5 linked regions of the Oryzias latipes genome follow. The protein of the gene in region 1 purifies or fractionates together with the protein of each later gene. This does not show direct contact. Links are inferred from orthologs where the notes say so. Each region holds a gene or a part of one and is shown in the gene's direction. Other genes may lie near its edges. The genes, in order: foxm1, otub1, mybl2, plk1 and ccnb1.

Region 1 (4,270 bases):
GGAAATTTATAGTTAAGTAGACTTTTTTGCCAGTTATCTAATCAACTAAATCTATATTTGTAATGTTTTATATATTTTTATATATTTAAAAGACTTTTACCCAGGAACTGAGAGCTGAAGAGCTGTGTGTCTTGGAGAAAAACTCTCTGGGATTGAGAGCAGCTCTGACTTCAGGCACATTTTGAAGTCTGGCGCCACTCACAGGTCGCTCCAGGAATTGCAGTGCAGGCTTGTCTGTCTTTGCCGCTTTCCGGGGCATCAATTTAAATCAATCTTAAGCATCTGTTCAAAACAAACAAGAGACAAATCCGATCGAGTAATCTTGTTAACAATACACATAGCTTTAGTCGTAGATCGAGGCTGTTTACATATTCGCATTCAAGTGTTTACTTTTGAAACGCGTTCTTTACTTACCATATTGTGCTTTTTCCGTGATTATGTGTCCATGTACGGAATACGGAATAAAAACGTTCCCTTATTTTTCGGTTCATTCAGACCTTTTTATCTTAGCTTGTCCGTGTTGTTGTTACTTTTAATTTCCCGGATTTTTTCTTTGTCTTCTTCGGGTTAGCGGCTGGCCATCTCGAGCTGCGGCCCACAGCGCCACCTATTGAGCCGCCCAGTGTTTTTTTCTGCGTTTACTATTGGTCCATTGTTACCATGTGATCAAAGTGACAGTCGGGGCAGCGCCCACAGCGCCAAAATTCAAAACTGTTTATGGATTGACTTTTTGTATCTAATTACTACTAAATACGTCGGTTTTGTGAATATTTTAAATGTTTTCTTTGATCCGACAAGTGGAATTGAAAGCCGAACCAAGCCTGGAATTGAATGAAACGCTGCAGTAATTCAGTAATGTGAAGGTCTGGCTTCATTTTTCCACTTGTTTCCTCCATCGTCAAACAGCTTTAGCATAGCTAGCTTAGCCTAGCTGTAAATAAAGGAAACTATACGCTAATCGGGACATTGGCTAGGCGCATGTTATTTTTTGAATTTATTTTTTGTTTTATTGATTGCATTGTGTTAACATGTAAATATATGTTGCACTGAATATCCACTAGATAGACGTTATTGAAATTAAACCTATCATCAACTGAAAATTATAACGACTGGCATGTCGCCAAGGGAACCGAATAAAATCTTCACTTTCGAGCGAGGGACTGTTGGGACTTTTGCAGCAAACAGACAGCAATAATCGGGTTTCTTTAAGTTTGAAGACGATATCATAGGATTGAAACATCATTTTTGACCGATTACTTCGTATTCTATTAGCAGGTATGTTGTTTTCAGGCTCACTAGTTCGGGGTTATCGTTAAAGTCAGTATTTAAACGTTGTAACGTAATGTATTGATAAGGTGTTTAACTTCTGAGTACTTTTTGAGCCATAACTGTAGCTCAAGACCTTTTCCCCCTCCCCACAGATTTCCATTGAACACCTAAGGCCCTTTGGATGATTTGAACCATGAGACGGAGCCCAAGGAGACCCCTGATCCTCAAAAGGCGCAAGTTACCTTTTCAACAAAAGGAACCCACCCCAGCAGACCCATCCAGGCAGTCCGGTGGCTCCAAAGAGCCGTCAAATTCCAGCGACAGTTCGTGCTTCCCAGACGGGGTCCGCTTTATAGGCCACCCATCCCTGTCAGACACTCAGGTTGTGGTCATTCCCAAAGCTACAGACGTTCAGAGTGTAATTAGTGTCCTCGCCGCTAAAGGCAAAGACAGCGGAGTTCAGGGTCCGAGCAAGTTTATTCTCCTGAGTGACAATGGCAATCAGGATCAAGCCGGATCTTTCTGTGAGACTGCTACTTCTGGAGGAGATGCTGTTTCCACACAAATCCCATCTCAAGAACCAGCAACAAAAGAAAGCACTCACACATCCCTTGATGTGACTGGCATTAAACCCTGTAAGGAATTTGCACAGAGTTTAAAATTTTATGTCAGAAATGCTACATTTAACTGAAATACCTGCTTCAATATATATATATAATTTTTTTTCAGTGAGTAAAGATGGGAATAGCGGCCCTTTGGATGACAGCCTCACCAACATCCAGTGGCTGGGCAAAATGAACACATGTGCTCTAGAGTCAGAGCCTGCAAAGCAAATACAAGGCAAGGAGAACCAGGCTCCCGTGTCTCAGACTGCTCAGGTCAGCTGTTTGTCTTTTTTTTTCCTTCCACACGGTTGTGACTTTTGCTGCCAGTGTGCAAACAGATTCTTGTGTGACAGGAACACAAGTCTGAGGCAATGTTGTGGCACGTTTCCTAAAATTGAACAGTAACCCGTCTGCCTGAGGAAAATGTCACCATGCTGTGATTTTTCACCATTTGTGAGGTTTAGTCACACGTTTTCATTTTATTCTAAAGCTGCTCTTTGCTGAAGATTTTGACAAAACGTAAGTTTTTTGTGAGAGAAAAATAGATACTATTACCCACCATCTGAACTGAAACTTTGATGAATTATATATGCTTGAATGGTGATTTAAATAGTGTTGCATGACATAATTTACAAGAACATTTATTGCAATGCTCCATAAATAGATGCTAACTTTGTATATTTGTGACTTAAGTAGCTCAATTATGATGTTTATTACTATGTATAGATTACAAAGGCTTTGATTTTACCCATATATTTGTATGTATGTATTAATGATATAGATGCATATCAACAGGATTTGCTTTATTCACTGTAGATATTGCTATATATTCTCTGATGGCTGATCTTTTTTGAATGTGTTTACATTCAAAATCTGATGGAAATTCATGCACATATTTTAACCCTGACACTCTAATTTCATGCAAATAGTCACTTCCTTTTGTGATTTGTCCTTTTCCATCTTAGGGGAAATTCTATAGTTGTGTTTTTTTTTGTTAATGCTAAATTAACCGTCAATTTTTGCATCTTTAGATCAGTAAATGGTGAGGTGTAATAATTTCCTTTTTAATATTTTTGACCGTTTTGAAGCTGCTGTTCAGCTCCGCAGTACCCGAACAGAAAGAAACCCGAAGACTGCTTAAAGACCCACTCCGATAAAAAAAATAGTTTTTACCATGTTATTGTCTCAATTTTCTGAAGCTAGAGGACATATATAGGGAAAATTAAGCTTACAATTGCATTTCTGAGTATATCCTCATTCAAATTGTTGTGAATCAGGAGCAGACTGAAAAAAGAGCTCATTTGTGACGTAGAAAATATTCTAAGCTGGCCACAAGTTCTCTCGTCTGAGGGAGGGGACAGCGTTCCCGTTACATACTGTCTGTATGTGTTTCAACCTGAAGCCACATCTTCCAGAAAAGAATTTCTCGAGTTTGTCTTCCGTGTTCTTGCAGTCATTTTCACGGCTGAAATTCACCCTCATTCGCGTTTTTTCTTTTGATCATAGGCAGCCAGCGTACCTCCAGAAACGAAACCTTGCCAGCAGCCCCTGTCAGGGAGGCCGCCGTATTCCTACATGGCCATGATCCAGTTCGCCATCAACAGCAGGAAAAACCGGAGGATGACCCTGAAAGAGATCTACACTTGGATCGAGGACCATTTTCCGTATTACAGACAGGTGGCCAAACCCGGATGGAAGGTAAAAAAAAATCCAGACTTTTGTTTATTCAAGGCTCCCATTTTTTTGATCCAAGCGTTTATATCTGTTCTGAAATTCCCATTTGCAGAATTCAATCCGCCACAACCTTTCTCTGCACGACATGTTTGTTCGCGAGACGGCGCCCGATGGGAAAGTTTCCTTCTGGACCATCCGGCCTGAGGCCAACCGATGCCTCACTCTAGATCAGGTATACAAGGTGAGCACGGCGGCGTTTTTCAGTGGTTTGCAGACACGTCTAACAGTTTCCTTTAATGTTTTGCTGTGTTTTTCACCTTTTAAAGCCTGGATGTGATCCAGTGACTGCTCCAGTTCCTGTTCCAATGCTTTTATTTCCCAACCAAGTAAGACGGCATCTTCAGTCTAACAGAACTTTGCAAGCAGGAAGCTGAAAGGGACAGAAGCTTAAGTGTTTCTTCAACCTGTTTACCTTTAATAACCTTTAATGTCTTTGAAGTTAGCTTTATGTGGACATTTGAGCATCGTAAGTTTATTTATTCTTGCAGGTTTGCTTTGAAAGCTGTGTTGTTTCTTTGCCATTGTCCACTCAGTACAGCAGGGGCAGAAAATGAAAAGGAAGCAGTGGATTCTCTTCATCCAGAATGTGTCGTCTGAAAGTTAAACTTTATGAATCAATTCGAATCTACATTTTTTTTTGTTTCTCTCCAGTCTCAGAAGAA
Region 2 (4,199 bases), on another chromosome or scaffold:
TAGTGATTCAGGCATCAATGATGTCATCTGAACGTGATCTGTGCGCCGTGTACGTGATCTAAAAGTTACACATCAGTGGTTCATGCATGAAAAGTCTGTTAGACAAACGTGGAACGCTCCTGGAAAGACACACATTTGTGTATCTCACAAAAATCACACGTAATTGCAGAAGATTTATGTAATAATTGCGTATAAACTACGTAAATTGCGTAATTCTCAACCGACCAAAAATTTTTAACAGAACAAAACTGAATTCACGTTAAAACCCGTCGTCTGAAACCCTCGAGGGACATCTGAACACATCGACAAACGCAAGAAACATTTATGAATGACGTAGATCAGTGGTCCCCAACCCCCGGGCTCCCGGATATCTGCCCGCTCCGGGGGTCATTTGGGGTCATTTGGTACCGGGCTGCAGAGAAAGAATATATAACTTGCATTACTTCTGTTTTATTTATTTCGGAATCTGAAAGATGTTTTATTTTGAAAAATTGCCCAATTCTTTGGTACATCAGTCTATGTCATTTTTGACGCATTCCAAGGCGCTCTTCTCGGTCACGTGTTAAGTTACCGCTAAAATAAAATCCAGGAACTAGCAAAATGAGTAAAAAACAAAATGTCTTTGGAAAGTTTCTTTGCCGAGGGGAAAATGCCCAGCCAGGAGAAAGAAGAAGAGCCTTCAACTTCCAAAATAAGAAAGCTAAATTTAATAGACAGTACCTTTTTTTGCACCACGAGAGTGTGGGAAGGGGAGATGATGATGAGACCTGTGCGATGTCAACTTTTAAGCGAGTCAAACTAAAAGCACAGAGTTCGTCTTGTCACGTATTTGATCCTCCCTCATCCTAGTATTGCTACAATAATCATCCGCCTATACTTGAAATACCGGTCCGTGAAAGTTTGTGTGATGTCATACCGGTCCGTGGCATGAATACGGTTGGGGACCACTGACGTAGATCACGCATGGATCACGGAGGACTGAGATTTCATACACTGAAAATGCACAAAATGTACGTGGTGGTTGTTTGACACGACCTTAAGACTACAGCTTTATAAATTAAGTGGGGGGGGGGGGGGGTTCCTCCTTTTTTCCAATTTATAAACGGATGGTTTCATAATTTGAGAAGTCCAAGTCTGTGAGGACGTCACATCCTCAAGTAAAAAATAATTTGTATTTTTGTTTTATTTTTTCTGTACCTGTCAGAGTTTTTGAGTGAATGGCGGGTCAAATTTAGGAAGAATTGTGAGACAAAAATGGTCTTTTCAGTCCAGGACAAAGTTATTGTTCCGGTGACACTATTGTTGTTTCTCCTGTGTGTGTAGTATAAAAAAACAACAACAGTTTGTGTTGACTTTATCGTGTTTGTGTGTTTTAAAAAGAGCAAAGCGGCCGCCCGGAAGTGCGTCATCGCTGAGGTCATGAAGAAGGAGGAAACAGATTTCCACAGCTAAGATGGCGGAGGAACAGCAGGAATCATCACAGGGAGAGATGGAGGGTGAGAGGAGCCCCTGTGGCACGAAAAACCCCGCGTGCCGACCTGTCAGTTCTGCCGAACATCCGGACCGGATGTGACCGGAGCTCCGAGCGGGATGATGTCCGCCCGATGCTCCGGTAGACTGAAGTGTAAACGGGTCGCAGCTGCTCGGCTAACGATAACCGAGCCACACAAAGGAAACGCTGTAGTGCAGCGGCCGACCGATAGCCCCCCTCCCCCAGTGCCAGAGCTCGATGAGGACCCGTCGGAGGCCAGAACCCATGCAGACTCTGCAGGACGGATGTCTTTTCGTTGATAATTAGTTTTGTTTTGACGCAGCATCATCATGAGCTAAACCCTTTAGCTGTCTGTCTGTCTGTGTCTGTCACAGAGACAGACAGACAGCGGTACCGGTTCTGATGGGTTCAGACGACATCCAACTTGTTTTTGAACCCTCATCAGCATCCTGTGCTGCTACCCTTTGACTCGCGTTTCGTGAGTTTTTTTTCCCCCAAAAACGCGCGCGCCGACTTTGTTTTTATTTCCCAACCAGTGCAGCGGACGATGCAGAGACGATCTTTGAATCTGCTTTGTACTTTGGAGTGGCTCTAGGTTCTAGAGAGTTCTGTGGTGCTGTTGTTGTGGCTGCTGCTGCTGCTCTCAGGTAAAGCTAAAAGCGCTCGTGTCTTCCAGGTGTGAACTGCCTCGCGCATGATGAGGCCATCATCGCTCAGCAGGACCGGATCCAGCAGGAGGTGAGGAAACCCCATCACTGGACCGGGCTCAGATGCTGAGCTCGGTACTGGTCTGATGTCTGTGATGATCACGTCTGGATCTTCACGTTTCAGAGAGTTGAAGTTTAAGAAAATCTTTAAATGGAATGAGGAAAACTCTAGATTTGCCATTTTAGTGATCTATATTGCGTTGACGATGGAACTTGCAATACATGAACAAATAGCAAAACAACCGAAAACATTATTTCTATTCCACTGCAACAGTTCATTTAAGTAAGGGCCAACATGCATTATACTTAAAATGACACTCATCTACATAGGAGGCAGAAATTGACATGAAAGGGCTCCATCCGATTGGTCAACAACGTGAATGCGTCCAATGATTGGTCAACAACGTGAATGCGTCCAAATGCTTGGTCCACAACGTGAATGTGTCCATCCGATTGGTCAACAACGTGAATGCGTCCATCCGATTGGTCAACAACGTGAATGCGTCCATCCGATTGGTCAACAACGTGAATGCATCCAATGATTGGTCAACAACGTGAATGCGTCCAAATGCTTGGTCAACAACGTGAATGCGTCCAAATGCTTGGTCAACAACGTGAATGTGTCCATCCGATTGGTCAACACTGAATTTGTCCAAATAATTGGTCAACAACGTGAATGCATCCAAATTCTTGGTCAACAACCTGAATGCACCAATGATTGGTCAACAACGTGAATGTGTCCAAATAGTTGGTCAACACCGTGAATGTGTCCATCCGATTGGTCAACAACGTGAATGCGTCCAAATGCTTGGTCAACATCGTGAATGAGTCCATCCGATTGGTCAAAAACGTGAATGCGTCCAATGATTGGTCAACAACGTGAATGCGTCCAAATGTTTGGTCAACAACGTGAATGTGTCCATCCGATTGGTCAACAACGTGAATGCGTCCAAATAATTGGTCAACAACCTGAATGCGTCCAATGATTGGTCAACAACGTGAATGTGTCCATCCGATTTGTCAACACTGTGAATATGTCCAAATAATTGGTCAACATCGTGAATGTGTCCATCCGATTGGTCAACACTGAATTTGTCCAAATGATTGGTCAACAACGTGAATGCATCCAAATGCTTGGTCAACAACGTGAATGTGTCCATCCGATTGGTAAACACTGTGAATTTGTCCAAATAATTGGTCAACAACGTGAATGCGTCCAATGATTGGTCAACAACGTGACTGCGTCCAATGACTGGTCAACAACGTGAATGTGTCCATCCGATTGGTAAACACTGTGAATTTGTCCAAATAATTGGTCAACAACGTGAATGTGTCCATCCGATTGGTCAACACTGAATTTGTCCAAATAATTGGTCAACAACGTGAATGCATCCAATGATTGGTCAACAACGTGAATGCGTCCAATGATTGGTCAACAACGTGAATGTGTTCATCCGATTGGTAAACACTGTGAATTTGTCCAAATAATTGGTCAACAACGTGAATGCGTCCAATGATTGGTCAACAACGTGAATGCGTCCAATGATTGTTCAACAACGTGAATGTGTCCATCCGATTGGTAAACACTGTGAATTTGTCCAAATAATTGGTCAACAACGTGAATGTGTCCATCCGATTGGTCAACACTGAATTTGTCCAAATAATTGGTCAACAACGTGAATGCGTCCAATGATTGGTCAACAACGTGAATGCGTCCAATGATTGGTCAACAACGTGAATGTGTCCATCCGATTGGTAAACATTGTGAATTTGTCCAAATAATTGGTCAACAACGTGAATGTGTCCATCCGATTGGTCAACACTGAATTTGTCCAAATAATTGGTTAACAACGTGAATGCATCCAAATGCTTGGTCAACAACCTGAATGCGTCCAATGATTGGTCAACAACGTGAATGTGTCCAAATAGTTGGTCAACACCGTGAATGTGTCCATCCGATTGGTCAACAACGTGAATACGTCCAAATGCTTGGTCAACAT
Region 3 (3,078 bases), on another chromosome or scaffold:
AGCAAATCTCTTGAATGTTGCTCCTGCCGTTTTCTTTTAGCAGACTTGGTGTCATATAAGTCAGTCCGGGCCCAAACCGCAGTTACTCGTTTCTCCTCTGTGAGCAGTTTTCAAACGGTTGGTACTTTCATGGATTAAAACGGACGCCATCCATTCGTCACGACCAAATCTAGTCCCCTGATTGGTCAAAGTTCAACTGGTGTAACTTTCAACAGGCGTTCAGTGGATGCACGTTTTGTACATAGAGCCTGAAAAGAGTTTTGAGAGCGGAAGCCGGACATTTACATAGACTTTTCATTGGAAGTGGGAACTTGAACGCGCGTCGCTGAGAGGGGGGTGGGGGGGGGGGGGTGGTGAATGAAGCTTCAAAGTGGAAAATGTATTCAGAATATCTCAAAATACACAGTTATATGAATTAAAGGGCTTTTTGGGGTCTGATTATTTACTCTGTTGTTGTTTAGGTTTGTTACTCCAAACCACAAGTCTGAGCTCTGCACGACGCCACGAACTCCAACCCCGTTCAAAAATGCTCTGGAGAAGTACGGACCCCTGCAGCCGCTGGTGGGAGCACAACCTGTTTCTGTTGGGTTTTACTTTCATTTATTAAAAACATTTCCGTATTCACTTAAATGTTGTTGTTTTTTTTTTTTGTTTGTTTCTTAGCCTCAAACTCCAAACCTGGAAGACGACATCAACGAGGTCATCCTGAGGGATTCTGGGATGGAGCTGGTTGTCGTGCGCTCAACTCCACCTGATCAGAAACGCAAAATGATGGTAGATTGAAAAAAGATTCACGCAAACTTCATTCACTTTTAGAATTCTTTTCTTGTGGCAGAAAAACTGGTGCTTATTCAGACTTTAAAATAAATAAATCACCTTGGACCAGCGACAAATGTATACTCATACTCATTTTTGGGATTTCCATCTATCGCCTCCTAACTCCTCAAGCATCATTGGGCAACTACTTGGAAATTCCGTGGCGAGCTCACAAAGATCCCTTTCCCCTGTTGCTCAAACATTTTTACCGGGATATTGTAAAAATTCAATCCATTAGTTGTTGGCTGAAGCTGAACGAAATGATATAACAAACAATATGAAAAAATTAAAAATGTGGATGTGCTTAGCAAAAAAAAAAAAAAAAAACTCTGTCGGCAAGGAAATCCAGAAATTTACTTTAGTCGATTCTTCTAAAAATTACTTGGACATGTTCCTTATCCCCAAGGAACCAAAAAGTTAAATAGTTGCTATGGAGATAAATCCAACAGTTTCATGCAACTGAGCTGTTTCATGCAGCTCCGACCAAAGTGGCAGCAGCAGGGGGATGGAGTGAGGGCTGTGTAGCAGCTGCTCAGCAAGTGAGGGCAGGTCAAAAGGGGGCGTTGAGGGCGGGGTCTCACTACGCTGCTTACGGGCTTCTGTTTTTTATATTTGATGAAAAAAATCTGATGGATTAAAATATTTGGTTGTGGTTTTCAGTTTTGGGAAATATAAATGGTCAAATTCAAGTGAGTTAATAGAAAAAAAAACAAATTAAGCTGCTGTAAAAGTAATCTTTCCCTTTGCTTCTTGGATTCTCTGCATCAGCATCGTCCTCCTATGAAGAAAGTGCGGAAATCTCTGGCTCTGGACGTCATGGACTGTCAGCTGGGGCACTCGTCCAAACGCAAGTCCATGAGGCCTGACGTCAGACTCAGCATGACGGTGAAGCCTGCGCACACTAGTTATGTCATCCATGCAGGTTCAACCGATGCTCATTCTTTGCTCCGTCTTGTGGTCTCGCCTCAGGAAGAACCCATTCTCGTCTCTCTGAACTCCTCGTCGTTCTGCAGCAAACGGCGCGAGAACATCCTTGATCAGGGCTTCCTGCTGGGGCCCAGCGACAGCGCCATATTTCCCACTCCAGTGCCCCCCGCTCCTGTAAGTCCTCACTTACTGGAGAATGTTTACAAAAACAAAACAAAAAAGAGAATCATGATTCATTTTATGCTTATTTTCTCCCCCAGATGTCCAAAGAGTGGGAGAAGGTTGTTTGTGGACAAACCAAAGACCAGCTCATCATGACGGAGAAAGCCAGGCGCTACCTTCGCTCCCTGAAAAATCATCCACCCAACCGGGCTCTGATCCTGTCCTGACCCCTCCAGAAGACTTTTCTTGATGTTCTTTGATTGTAGTAAAGAAAACGGTTTAGAGTTAGTAATGTTTTGGGGGGGGCGGGAATCAGACTACAGCCTCGTGGCTCAGCTGACAGAACGGATGCCAATTTAGTGTTTTGAGAAAAGAATAAAAAAGAATGTTTACAAAAGATCAGGGGTAAAAACTTGATCAAATAGGTGGTTGTCATGGTCTTGTGAGTCTGGAGGTAATTTCTAGTTCAGCAGAAGAGCTGCGTTTACGCTAGGTGACTGTAGAGTTCTTTCAGATTTGTCTAAATAGGGCTCACGTATTCCTGTTCCTGCAGAATTTTGATGCGACTGCAACAATGTTTTATAAAGTCATTGTAAATATTCTGTGTATTTTTAAATAAGAAAATAACAATAATATGTTCAATGCAAATAAATGCTTCAGGAACAAACTTGTGGGCTTCATACAATGATTCGAAATCTATGAAAAACCTCAACTGTTAAATTGAGTTTTGAAGCAGTGATGTCATTCTTTCTTTCTGACAAGTGATCTGAGCTGCATCTTTCTAACAGAATTTTGGAGAAAAGGCATGACTGCTTTTCTTGAATCTCATCCAGACCATGAAACTTCTCGAGTTTTGCTGTGTTTTTGAGATGCTTAAAAACTGATTTAGTTCTGGTGTCTAAGTCTAAGGTCTTAAGTCTTTTATGACAAAGATTGATTTCTTAAAGTCCCATTCCAGTCACCTTCTGATCTATTTTCAAAGCGCTCCCAGCACTCTTAATTGTAAATATGCAGTTTTAGGCAAAATTAGAAAACCTTTGTTGTTTTCTGGGACACAGTTTCTGCAGAGCGGCAGGAGTTCATTAAGACCATTTCAGTTGTGGGCGGGACAACTGGCACGGAGCAACCCTGTGAGGAAAACAAAGACATGAATGTAGTTGACTACAAGTGGAT
Region 4 (4,230 bases), on another chromosome or scaffold:
CCAAACTACTGAACTGTATTCCTTTACAACCTCTGATGGTTTATAAACGGTGTGTTTGTAGCCTTAGGATGCACCGGTGCAAGCAAGTCCCCGCAGTCTTCAGGTAAGCATCCCCTCAACAAGCTGTGTTTTGAGTTAGTGTCCCATAACCATTCCCCCTTTACACTCTTAACCCAAATTAATTTACCACAAAATGTTGATCAGCCAGCAACCAGCAATCTATTAACTGGTTACCCCAACTACCATGCAGTGGTGGATAAAGAAAAAAAGAAATGAAAACCTTAGGGGAAAAACAACTTTTTTTTTTTTTTTTAGCTTGGCATGTTGAAACCAAACAGTACAGTCAATATCCAAATGTAAAAAATTGGGAATCTTCATGTATTCTGGAGTTATTATTTAAGTATAGGCATCAACAGGTTAACCATCATGATCAGAAAGTGAAAGTCCTTAATTTCATCATGTTAACATCTTGTCAAATAAACAATAATCTTGGTATCACAAAAACGATGTGACTTTTTTTTAGTGTGGCAAGACAGATTAAACCATTACTGCAGGTTTACTTTCTCATATTGCTTTTGTTACACTATATTTTACTGCTTCTCACCATTTTATGCTTTCCAGCATAAATAATCTTTCAAGTTAAACCCTGAGGCTTTTTTGCTCAAAATCCTTTTTGAATTTCAACCAATCTAGAGTGAAAAATATCCTCCTCACTACCGGCAATAAAAACTTGTCCCCATAGTGGACATTTCTAGACCTGAAAATTATTCAACCACTGCAATTACTGAATGAACTCCTTTTGGTATCTACAGAGGGCATTTGTGGCTTTTCAATGATTACAATGATACACTTAGAATGCCGATAGCACTGTCTGAGAATTTGGTTTGAAACAGTATTTAATGGTTGTTCTAACAGAGTAGAAATTAAAAGAAAACATGAGAAGAAAGCAAACACTCACATGTTTCTCAATTTATGAAAAGTTGAAAGTTTTTCAAGGAAGTGTGGCGCAAGATGAGTGTACACAGTCAGCATGGCAATCAATAAAAATAAAAGTGTATAACCTGAACCAACAATGTCTGTCAATAAAAATCCATCCAAAAAGTGAAAATGACAAATTCATAAAAAACTCATAGTCTAACAAAGATTAAATAAACTTCATATGATCCTCTGCATTCATGTAATATTAGTGTTCAACTAATAACATGAACCTAAATGATCGATATTGGATCAGGAGTGGCCATAATTCGGATAACGCTAATAACAAAACACTTTCGAAATTAAATCCTTTTCCCGACTACATTTCCCATCCGTCTTTCTCGAGGAAACAAAAACAGCCTTTCAGCCAATCAGATTGTTGGAGGCCTTCTACTCTACTCCTGATTGGCTATTTTTGTACACATGTTCCCAAGATGCTTTGCTGTGACGCTGTGGAATTCAAATCTAGCAGACCAATCAACGATCGCCAAAACGACCGAGCCAGCATTTTAAATTTGTACGAGACACTTGTTATCGAAAAGGCAGAACGGGACAAGGCAACCGCTGCCGGGGAAGTCTGCGCAAGAATTCTGCCTCCGGTTTTTTTTTTAATTAATTTATTTAATCTTGGGACCTGTCGGCCTTTAAATGTTAGTCAACGTTTGCGGTTTAGATCGTTTGTTAGTATTTGCTGTAAATTGAGGCGTAGAAAAAGTTAGCTTCGAAGGCTAAACTAACGTCGGTTGAGTTGGAGGGTTAAACAACACTTTAGCCCTTGTTTAATAACTTTTGCGTTTCGACTTCTTTGGAGTTTTATTAACGCGGAAAGAGCACTTTTAAAGTACACCATGAGTGCTGCTATCGCAAAGCCGGCGCAGCCGTCCGGACACGTCGACCCAAAATCGGCTCCTCTGAAAGAAATCCCAGAGGTTTTGGTGGATCCCCGCACCCTGAGGAGATACTCCAAGGGCAGGTTCCTCGGCAAGGGGGGCTTCGCCAAATGCTTCGAAATTACAGACATGGAGACCAAGCAGGTTTTCGCTGGCAAAATAGTGCCCAAGTCGTTGATCCTGAAGCAGCACCAAAGGGAGAAGATGAGCTCGGAAATCTCCATTCACAAGAGCCTCAATCATGCTAACATCGTGGGCTTCCACGGCTTCTTTGAGGACGACGACTTTGTCTATGTGGTCCTGGAGATCTGCAGGAGAAGGGTGAGGATTTTGGGAACTCTAAATGAAAATACATGAAGGCCAACGGTTAACAATGTGGCCTCTTCCGTTACCCCCCCCCCCCCCCCTCCTTTGGCATAGTGCTGGGAGACTCAAATCCCCTGATCACTGCTTTAAATCACTGTTACTTATCCTAAACCAGTAACTTTTTGTAATTTAAAACTATAGAGATATCTAAATTCTTTTTCCCCTTTGTGTTGTTCCACGTGTTGTTTTTAACACTTCTTGAGGTGCCACTTCACTTCATCCAGCTTGTTCATGCTCTCCCAGCCTCCATTTTCCTCCACTGAGTTCAGCCGCTCACCAGAACTGTTGTCCTTTTTCAAGTCCCTGTTGGAGTTGCACAAGCGCAGGAAGGCGGTCACGGAGCCGGAGGCTCGCTACTACATGACCCAGCTGCTGAAAGGGGTCCATTATCTGCACAGCAACAAGGTCATCCACAGAGACCTGAAACTGGGGAACATCTTCCTCAACGACGACATGGAAGTCAAGATAGGTATGGAGAGCAGGAAACCTGTCGGTGTAGTGACAAAGAAACGGGCACACCCATGTTCTTGATATGCTCCCATAACTTCCTTGTTGAGAACTTCCAGCTCCAATTTGTTAACACCCATATTTGGCTTCTTAATATCCTTTACTCAGATTAAACGCTGATCATTTCTTTCTTTCCTTTTTTGCTAGGTGACTTTGGTTTGGCCACAAAGATTGAGTTTGATGGTGAACGGAAGAAGACCTTGTGTGGAACGCCCAACTATATCGCTCCGGAAGTGCTGTGCAAGAAAGGCCACAGCTATGAAGTGGATGTCTGGTCACTTGGGTGCATATTGTAAGTGTGTAAACCCACAGTGGAGTGGGGAAGAGTGTCATTCCACAGGATTCTGGATACTCAACTTCCTTCCTGTATCCTCTCATAGGTACACTTTGTTAGTCGGCAAGCCTCCGTTTGAAACCTCATGCCTGAAAGACACATACAACCGGATCAAGAAGAACAATTACACCATCCCCTGGGTGAGAAGAGCTGACGTTAATCCCTAAATGTACGTAATAGTTGGTGAAAGAAAATCTTAAGTTTACCGTCACTTCACTTGAATGCTGCAGCAAATCAACCCGTCAGCCTCGGCTCTCATCAAGAGGATGCTGCATGCCGATCCTGCCCAGAGGCCCACCATCACTGACCTGCAGACGGATGAGTTCTTCACATCGGGATACGTCCCCCTGCGGCTGCCCACCACTTGTCTCACTGTGCCCCCGCGGTTCTCCATTGCCCCCTCCATGGCTGCAGAGCTCAGCCAGAGGCGCCCCCTGACTGCCATAAACAACAAAGGTAACAAACCCAACAATTGCCCAAAACTGGTGCACTGATAATGAAAGTCTGCAGTTAATCAACAGTGATATTGATGGAGGTTTTTTTTATATATTTTTTTTCTCAGCCGGCACAGAGAAGGTGGACATGAAAGACGAGCCTGCTCCACTGTGAGACATCACACTAAGGTCTAAAACATGCGTCGTAGTTTGATCAAAAATGATAAATGGGAATTTTGTGTGCAGAGAGGCGGAGCCAGAAGAATGTTACCTGAAGGACATGCTGCAGCAGCTCAACAGCATCATCTCTGCCAAGCCTTCAGAGAAGGCGGTCATTCGGCAAGGTGAGAGCAGCCGCCTGCAGGAACTACCTAAACTTTCTGCAGTTTTAGTCAGTCCTTCTTACAGAAAACCCCTTGTCTTTGATTTCAGAGGAAGCAGAGGATCCTGCGTGTATTCCCATCTTTTGGATCAGTAAATGGGTCGACTACTCTGACAAATATGGATTAGGTAAATTCTAAATCTTAGGACAGGTTTGCCTTTTATTGTCTTGCTTTTAATGGAGAATTAAGGGTGTGCTGTAAATTGCTTTCGCAGGATACCAGCTTTGTGACAACAGTGTTGGTGTTCTATTCAACGATTTCACCCGACTCATCATGTATGCTGATGGCGACAGTCTGCAGTACATTGACAAGAAGGCTGCTGAGTCCTATTTAAGCGTTCG
Region 5 (4,016 bases), on another chromosome or scaffold:
ATTTCAAACCTGCTGATCCTCTTTGAGGTCACTGGATCCTTTGGTGAAGGCTGTACACACTCCAGATGGGTTACCAGTCCATTGCAGGGCCACACAGTCACAGACATTGTGAATCATCAATTAACCTAAATATGTTTGCACATGCCTGAGTGCCAGGATAAAACCCACACATGCTTGGGGTAAACTTGTAAACTTGACTCAGAAAAGACCCGGCTGGGATGTGAGCCAGGCCCTACTGAGGCAAAAGAACAAATCACTACACCACTGTTCTACTTTAGTAGCGAATACAGGACTAATGAGCTTTTTTGTAAAAAGAAAAAGATATATATATATGCATTCTTTTGCACGGAGGGATTCAAACATGTTTTAACATAAAAAATGACAATAAACTGAGAAAATCATTAAGTGTCAGAATAAAATCATTTTTAGGGCAACATTCAATTCTATTAGCAATAAGTGGTAGACTTTGAGTTTATTTGATTAAGTATAACTGAGCATAACAAGTATAGCCGGTATACACATGTAGTGTAGGGAATATACTAACTGAATACATCTATAGACTAAATTGGAACATTTTAAGTTTACTATATATACATTTATCTTCTTCCGTTTTGTACCTTTTGGGGTCACAGGGCTGCCGAAGCCTTTCCACATGTTACGGGCAAAGGCAGGGGACACCCTGGACAGGTCGCCAGCCCAGTCTGTCTAAGTTTAAAATATATAGATATAAAAAGTAAACTTCAAGTCCACTGCCTCACTTTTAGCCTACTTGAAGTGCATTTAAGGATACTAAATTTTGTTAACCCTTAACAGATTTTGTACTTTCTACTATACATACATCCAACCTATAGCAGCATGCTTGGTAAAATGATGCTCAAGTATACTTAAAAAATAAGCTTCAGTGTACTGTTTGTTTTTGTAAAGGATTGTTTTTGAGATCCTCTTGATTCTTCTTCTTTTTGTTTTGCGTTAAAAAAGTGTTTTCCTTGTTTAGATGCAAACAATAAAGTAGTGTATGTTTTTATCTACAAATGTTTTTATTTTAATAGCTCTAGAAGAACGGAGTTAGATATCCGGGTAAGGGAAGTGACCTAAGAAGAGCGTGATCACGTGACCCAAAGTTGTCTTGGGAGCGCATCTGACACGTACTCGTTTATCCAATCAGAATCGCCGCAGCCGCCCAGCGCAGCCAATCGGTTTGCAGCGAGCGAGGATTTAAACCACGACTCGTGCGTTGGAATCTTCACCTTCTCCGCTTCAATTTCGTGGTTGTTTGTGGAAGAGAAGCAGGCAAAGGCATGGCTCTGAGAGTTACCAGGGTAAGTCTGAACCACGTTACACGTTCCTCTCTGTTTTTACCGGAAAAGAACGATTTCAGGAAGCGCGTCTTTCTCTGGTTTTAAATGTTTTGACGTGTTTTCTGACTGGACTGTCATGTGGCTGTATGTGAGCGGAAGCTAGAGGTCAAATATTGTTGGCTTGAATTTATTGAACGTGCTGCTTCACCACTGCAGGTTTATCTCGAGCGCGCCTTGTTTTGTCCGTTTTCTCGCTGCAGAACCGACTGGCCTCCACCCGGGCCGAACTGGGCGGAAAGACGTGCTCGGTGGCCGGGCCTACACAGAAGCCCCGCGCGGCCCTCGGAGAAATCGGAAACGTCGCAGTTATTAACAAAGATGTCACGAAAAAGGTAAAATCTTTTTTTTTTTTTTTTAAAAATCCTATATAAATGTATTTTCCACTTATCGAAGTAAAGTGATTAACCTTTTTTTGGGGCAAGTTTGGTGTAGAAGTGAGGGGTTGGGCCTGTTCTGATGAGAAAATGTCTACTGTGCTGAACTGGGGCCCTTAGTCAAGTATAAAATGCATCCCAGGTTGGAGGAGCACAGTTAACCTGGAACTATGTCTAAGAATGTACACCATCAATTGTAAATTTAAATCTTTGCTAAAAAAACAACAACTTGAGTTTGAATGCACATTTGTTAAGAGAAACTCTTGTTACTGCTGTACTATCAGCTCAATGCGCAGAGCTTCAAAACCTGTACAGCTAGGACTTGTGGCTTTGGCCTGCAGCTGTAGAGATTTCCCAAACTGTGCAAGAAGCAAAGAACTCAAATGAAAAGATCCCAGCTCTGTAAAATGCATAGCAGTATTTGGGTTTGACCTTTCTTTCTTCAGACTATCAAGACGGAGGTTGCTAAGAAGACAAAGATCCCAGCTAAAGCTGAGAAGATCGAGCTACCAAAAGCTGCTGTGGTCCCTGTTAAACCAGCACCTGAAGTGCAGGTGACTGAGGTGAGTTGGTGTCATTGGTTGTCACACACCTGGTTGGGACATTTGTCCTGCGTGGTTGACCCATCCTCTGGGGGCAGCAGTGAGCTCCAGGCATGGTTGTGCTTCGGAGCCATATGGTGGGTTAACCACTCCCAATCCAACCCCTTACAGACCCACTCTGATTGTGGCCTCTTTCTTATAAAAGATTCATCTAAAGAAAATGAGATTGAAATTTCATTTCTGATTACTTTATTCAAATGTTGTGAATTGAGAAAAAAAATGCTGTTTGTTTGGATAAGGGCTTATTTGTGAGGTAGAAAATCCCACCGGCAGGTCACCAGCTCCCTTCTGATGTGTCCACTTGAATCAAGCAGGGAGGCTTTGGTTCCATCCGAAGTCTTTGCTGTGACTCCACTGGTTTTGAACCCTCTGCCTACCAGTCTTGGGGCAGACGCTCTACCACTAGGGTGACGTGTAATGATTTGACATGACCTTCTCACAGGTGCCAGCCCAGGCTGAACGTGCATCCCCCACCCCCATGGAGACCTCTGGATGTGAGTCTGCTGACCTCTGTCAAGCATTTTCAGATGTCATCCTCAACACGGCCATCAGGGACGTGGATGCAGATGACTACGACAACCCCATGCTCTGCAGTGAATATGTTAAGGACATCTACAAGTACCTCCGTCAGCTTGAGGTCGGACTAAAACCCGGAAAGCTGCATTCCTGATGTGTGCCGTTTCCCTAAAGAGACGTTTGTTCTCCTGTAGATGGAGCAGAGCGTAAAGCCAAACTACCTTGAGGGTCAGGAGATCACCGGAAACATGCGAGCCATCCTCATTGACTGGCTGGTACAAGTGGGCCTCAAGTTCCGTCTGCTGCAGGAGACCATGTACATGACTGTGGGAATAATCGACCGCTTTCTTCAGGTGAGTCTGTCAGTGTTCCTCTACAGACTAGATGTGCTCCATAATTCAATAAAAAAAAATAATTTCATAACAGATGTCCTCTAACTGACTTGTGTGCTGAGATTTTTCTTTTATTTTGTCTGCGGTCCTTTCAACAGGACCATCCAGTCCCCAAGAAGCAGCTGCAGCTGGTTGGCGTGACCGCCATGTTCCTGGCCTCCAAATACGAGGAGATGTACCCTCCGGAGATCTCAGACTTTGCCTACGTGACGGACAGGGCTTACACCACTGCTCAGATCAGAGACATGGAAATGACTATTCTGCGAGTGCTGAAGTTTCAGCTGGGCCGCCCCCTCCCGCTGCAGTTCCTCAGAAGGGCCTCCAAGATCTATGAGGTGTGGCGCGGTGTCGGTGCGGCAAACTGTTCTCTTCCACCACTGCATGTGCTGAGGTGAAGGTGGGATTTTATTTTTCTTCAGGTAACTGCTGAACAACACACCCTGGCCAAATACCTGCTGGAGCTCTCCATGGTTGACTACGACATGGCTCATTTCCCGCCCTCATTGGTGGCGAGTGCAGCTCTGGCGCTGACTCTCAAGGTCCTGGATGCAGGGGAATGGGTGAGTGACACTTGAAGGGTTTGCTCTCATCGCTGACTTGCCTGGGACAGCATTGGATATGAATGTCTTCCTTCCCAGGATGTGACACTGCAGCATTACATGGAGTACACAGCAGAGACCCTGACACCTGTTATGGCGCACATCGCTAAGAATGTCGTGAAAGTCAACAATGGGCAAACTAAACACATGGTAATCTTTTATTTTTTAATCCTAT

What was found.
Region 2: the proteins of foxm1 (region 1) and otub1 purify together in Homo sapiens (affinity purification with western blotting; 4 studies listed by BioGRID, with this or other methods). This does not show direct contact. The link is inferred for Oryzias latipes from reciprocal best matches to the Homo sapiens genes FOXM1 and OTUB1.
Region 3: the proteins of foxm1 (region 1) and mybl2 purify together in Homo sapiens (affinity purification with western blotting; 3 studies listed by BioGRID and IntAct, with this or other methods). This does not show direct contact. The link is inferred for Oryzias latipes from reciprocal best matches to the Homo sapiens genes FOXM1 and MYBL2.
Region 4: the proteins of foxm1 (region 1) and plk1 purify together in Homo sapiens (affinity purification with western blotting; 5 studies listed by BioGRID, with this or other methods). This does not show direct contact. The link is inferred for Oryzias latipes from reciprocal best matches to the Homo sapiens genes FOXM1 and PLK1.
Region 5: the proteins of foxm1 (region 1) and ccnb1 purify together in Homo sapiens (affinity purification with western blotting; 4 studies listed by BioGRID, with this or other methods). This does not show direct contact. The link is inferred for Oryzias latipes from reciprocal best matches to the Homo sapiens genes FOXM1 and CCNB1.

Annotation. Positions count from the first base shown.
Region 1 is NC_019881.2:18,848,114-18,852,383, forward strand, and holds the start of foxm1 (forkhead box protein M1), read left to right. Parts: upstream 1-1,462; coding exon 1,463-1,904; intron 1,905-1,998; coding exon 1,999-2,147; intron 2,148-3,380; coding exon 3,381-3,572; intron 3,573-3,660; coding exon 3,661-3,789; intron 3,790-3,874; coding exon of another isoform or gene 3,875-3,934; intron 3,935-4,259; coding exon 4,260-4,270. Other genes in the region: rhno1 (RAD9, HUS1, RAD1-interacting nuclear orphan protein 1), read right to left, coding at 101-259. UniProt on the Homo sapiens protein: Transcription factor regulating the expression of cell cycle genes essential for DNA replication and mitosis. Plays a role in the control of cell proliferation. Also plays a role in DNA break repair, participating in the DNA damage checkpoint response.
Region 2 is NC_019876.2:28,621,198-28,625,396, reverse strand, and holds the start of otub1 (ubiquitin thioesterase OTUB1), read left to right. Parts: upstream 1-1,392; 5' UTR 1,393-1,453; coding exon 1,454-1,496; intron 1,497-2,168; coding exon 2,169-2,230; intron 2,231-4,199. UniProt on the Homo sapiens protein: Hydrolase that can specifically remove 'Lys-48'-linked conjugated ubiquitin from proteins and plays an important regulatory role at the level of protein turnover by preventing degradation.
Region 3 is NC_019863.2:23,217,200-23,220,277, reverse strand, and holds the end of mybl2 (myb-related protein B), read left to right. Parts: intron 1-461; coding exon 462-561; intron 562-663; coding exon 664-774; intron 775-1,584; coding exon 1,585-1,701; intron 1,702-1,785; coding exon 1,786-1,917; intron 1,918-2,003; coding exon 2,004-2,132; 3' UTR 2,133-2,569; downstream 2,570-3,078. UniProt on the Homo sapiens protein: Transcription factor involved in the regulation of cell survival, proliferation, and differentiation. Transactivates the expression of the CLU gene.
Region 4 is NC_019859.2:22,726,359-22,730,588, reverse strand, and holds the start of plk1 (serine/threonine-protein kinase PLK1), read left to right. Parts: upstream 1-1,421; 5' UTR 1,422-1,823; coding exon 1,824-2,186; intron 2,187-2,531; coding exon 2,532-2,700; intron 2,701-2,885; coding exon 2,886-3,030; intron 3,031-3,118; coding exon 3,119-3,212; intron 3,213-3,302; coding exon 3,303-3,528; intron 3,529-3,634; coding exon 3,635-3,677; intron 3,678-3,752; coding exon 3,753-3,850; intron 3,851-3,938; coding exon 3,939-4,016; intron 4,017-4,103; coding exon 4,104-4,230. UniProt on the Homo sapiens protein: Serine/threonine-protein kinase that performs several important functions throughout M phase of the cell cycle, including the regulation of centrosome maturation and spindle assembly, the removal of cohesins from chromosome arms, the inactivation of anaphase-promoting complex/cyclosome (APC/C) inhibitors, and the regulation of mitotic exit and cytokinesis.
Region 5 is NC_019870.2:25,679,522-25,683,537, forward strand, and holds the start of ccnb1 (G2/mitotic-specific cyclin-B1), read left to right. Parts: upstream 1-1,210; 5' UTR 1,211-1,298; coding exon 1,299-1,319; intron 1,320-1,558; coding exon 1,559-1,690; intron 1,691-2,178; coding exon 2,179-2,295; intron 2,296-2,776; coding exon 2,777-2,971; intron 2,972-3,044; coding exon 3,045-3,203; intron 3,204-3,340; coding exon 3,341-3,577; coding exon of another isoform or gene 3,578-3,637; exon of another isoform or gene 3,638-3,661; coding exon 3,662-3,802; intron 3,803-3,880; coding exon 3,881-3,991; intron 3,992-4,016. UniProt on the Homo sapiens protein: Essential for the control of the cell cycle at the G2/M (mitosis) transition.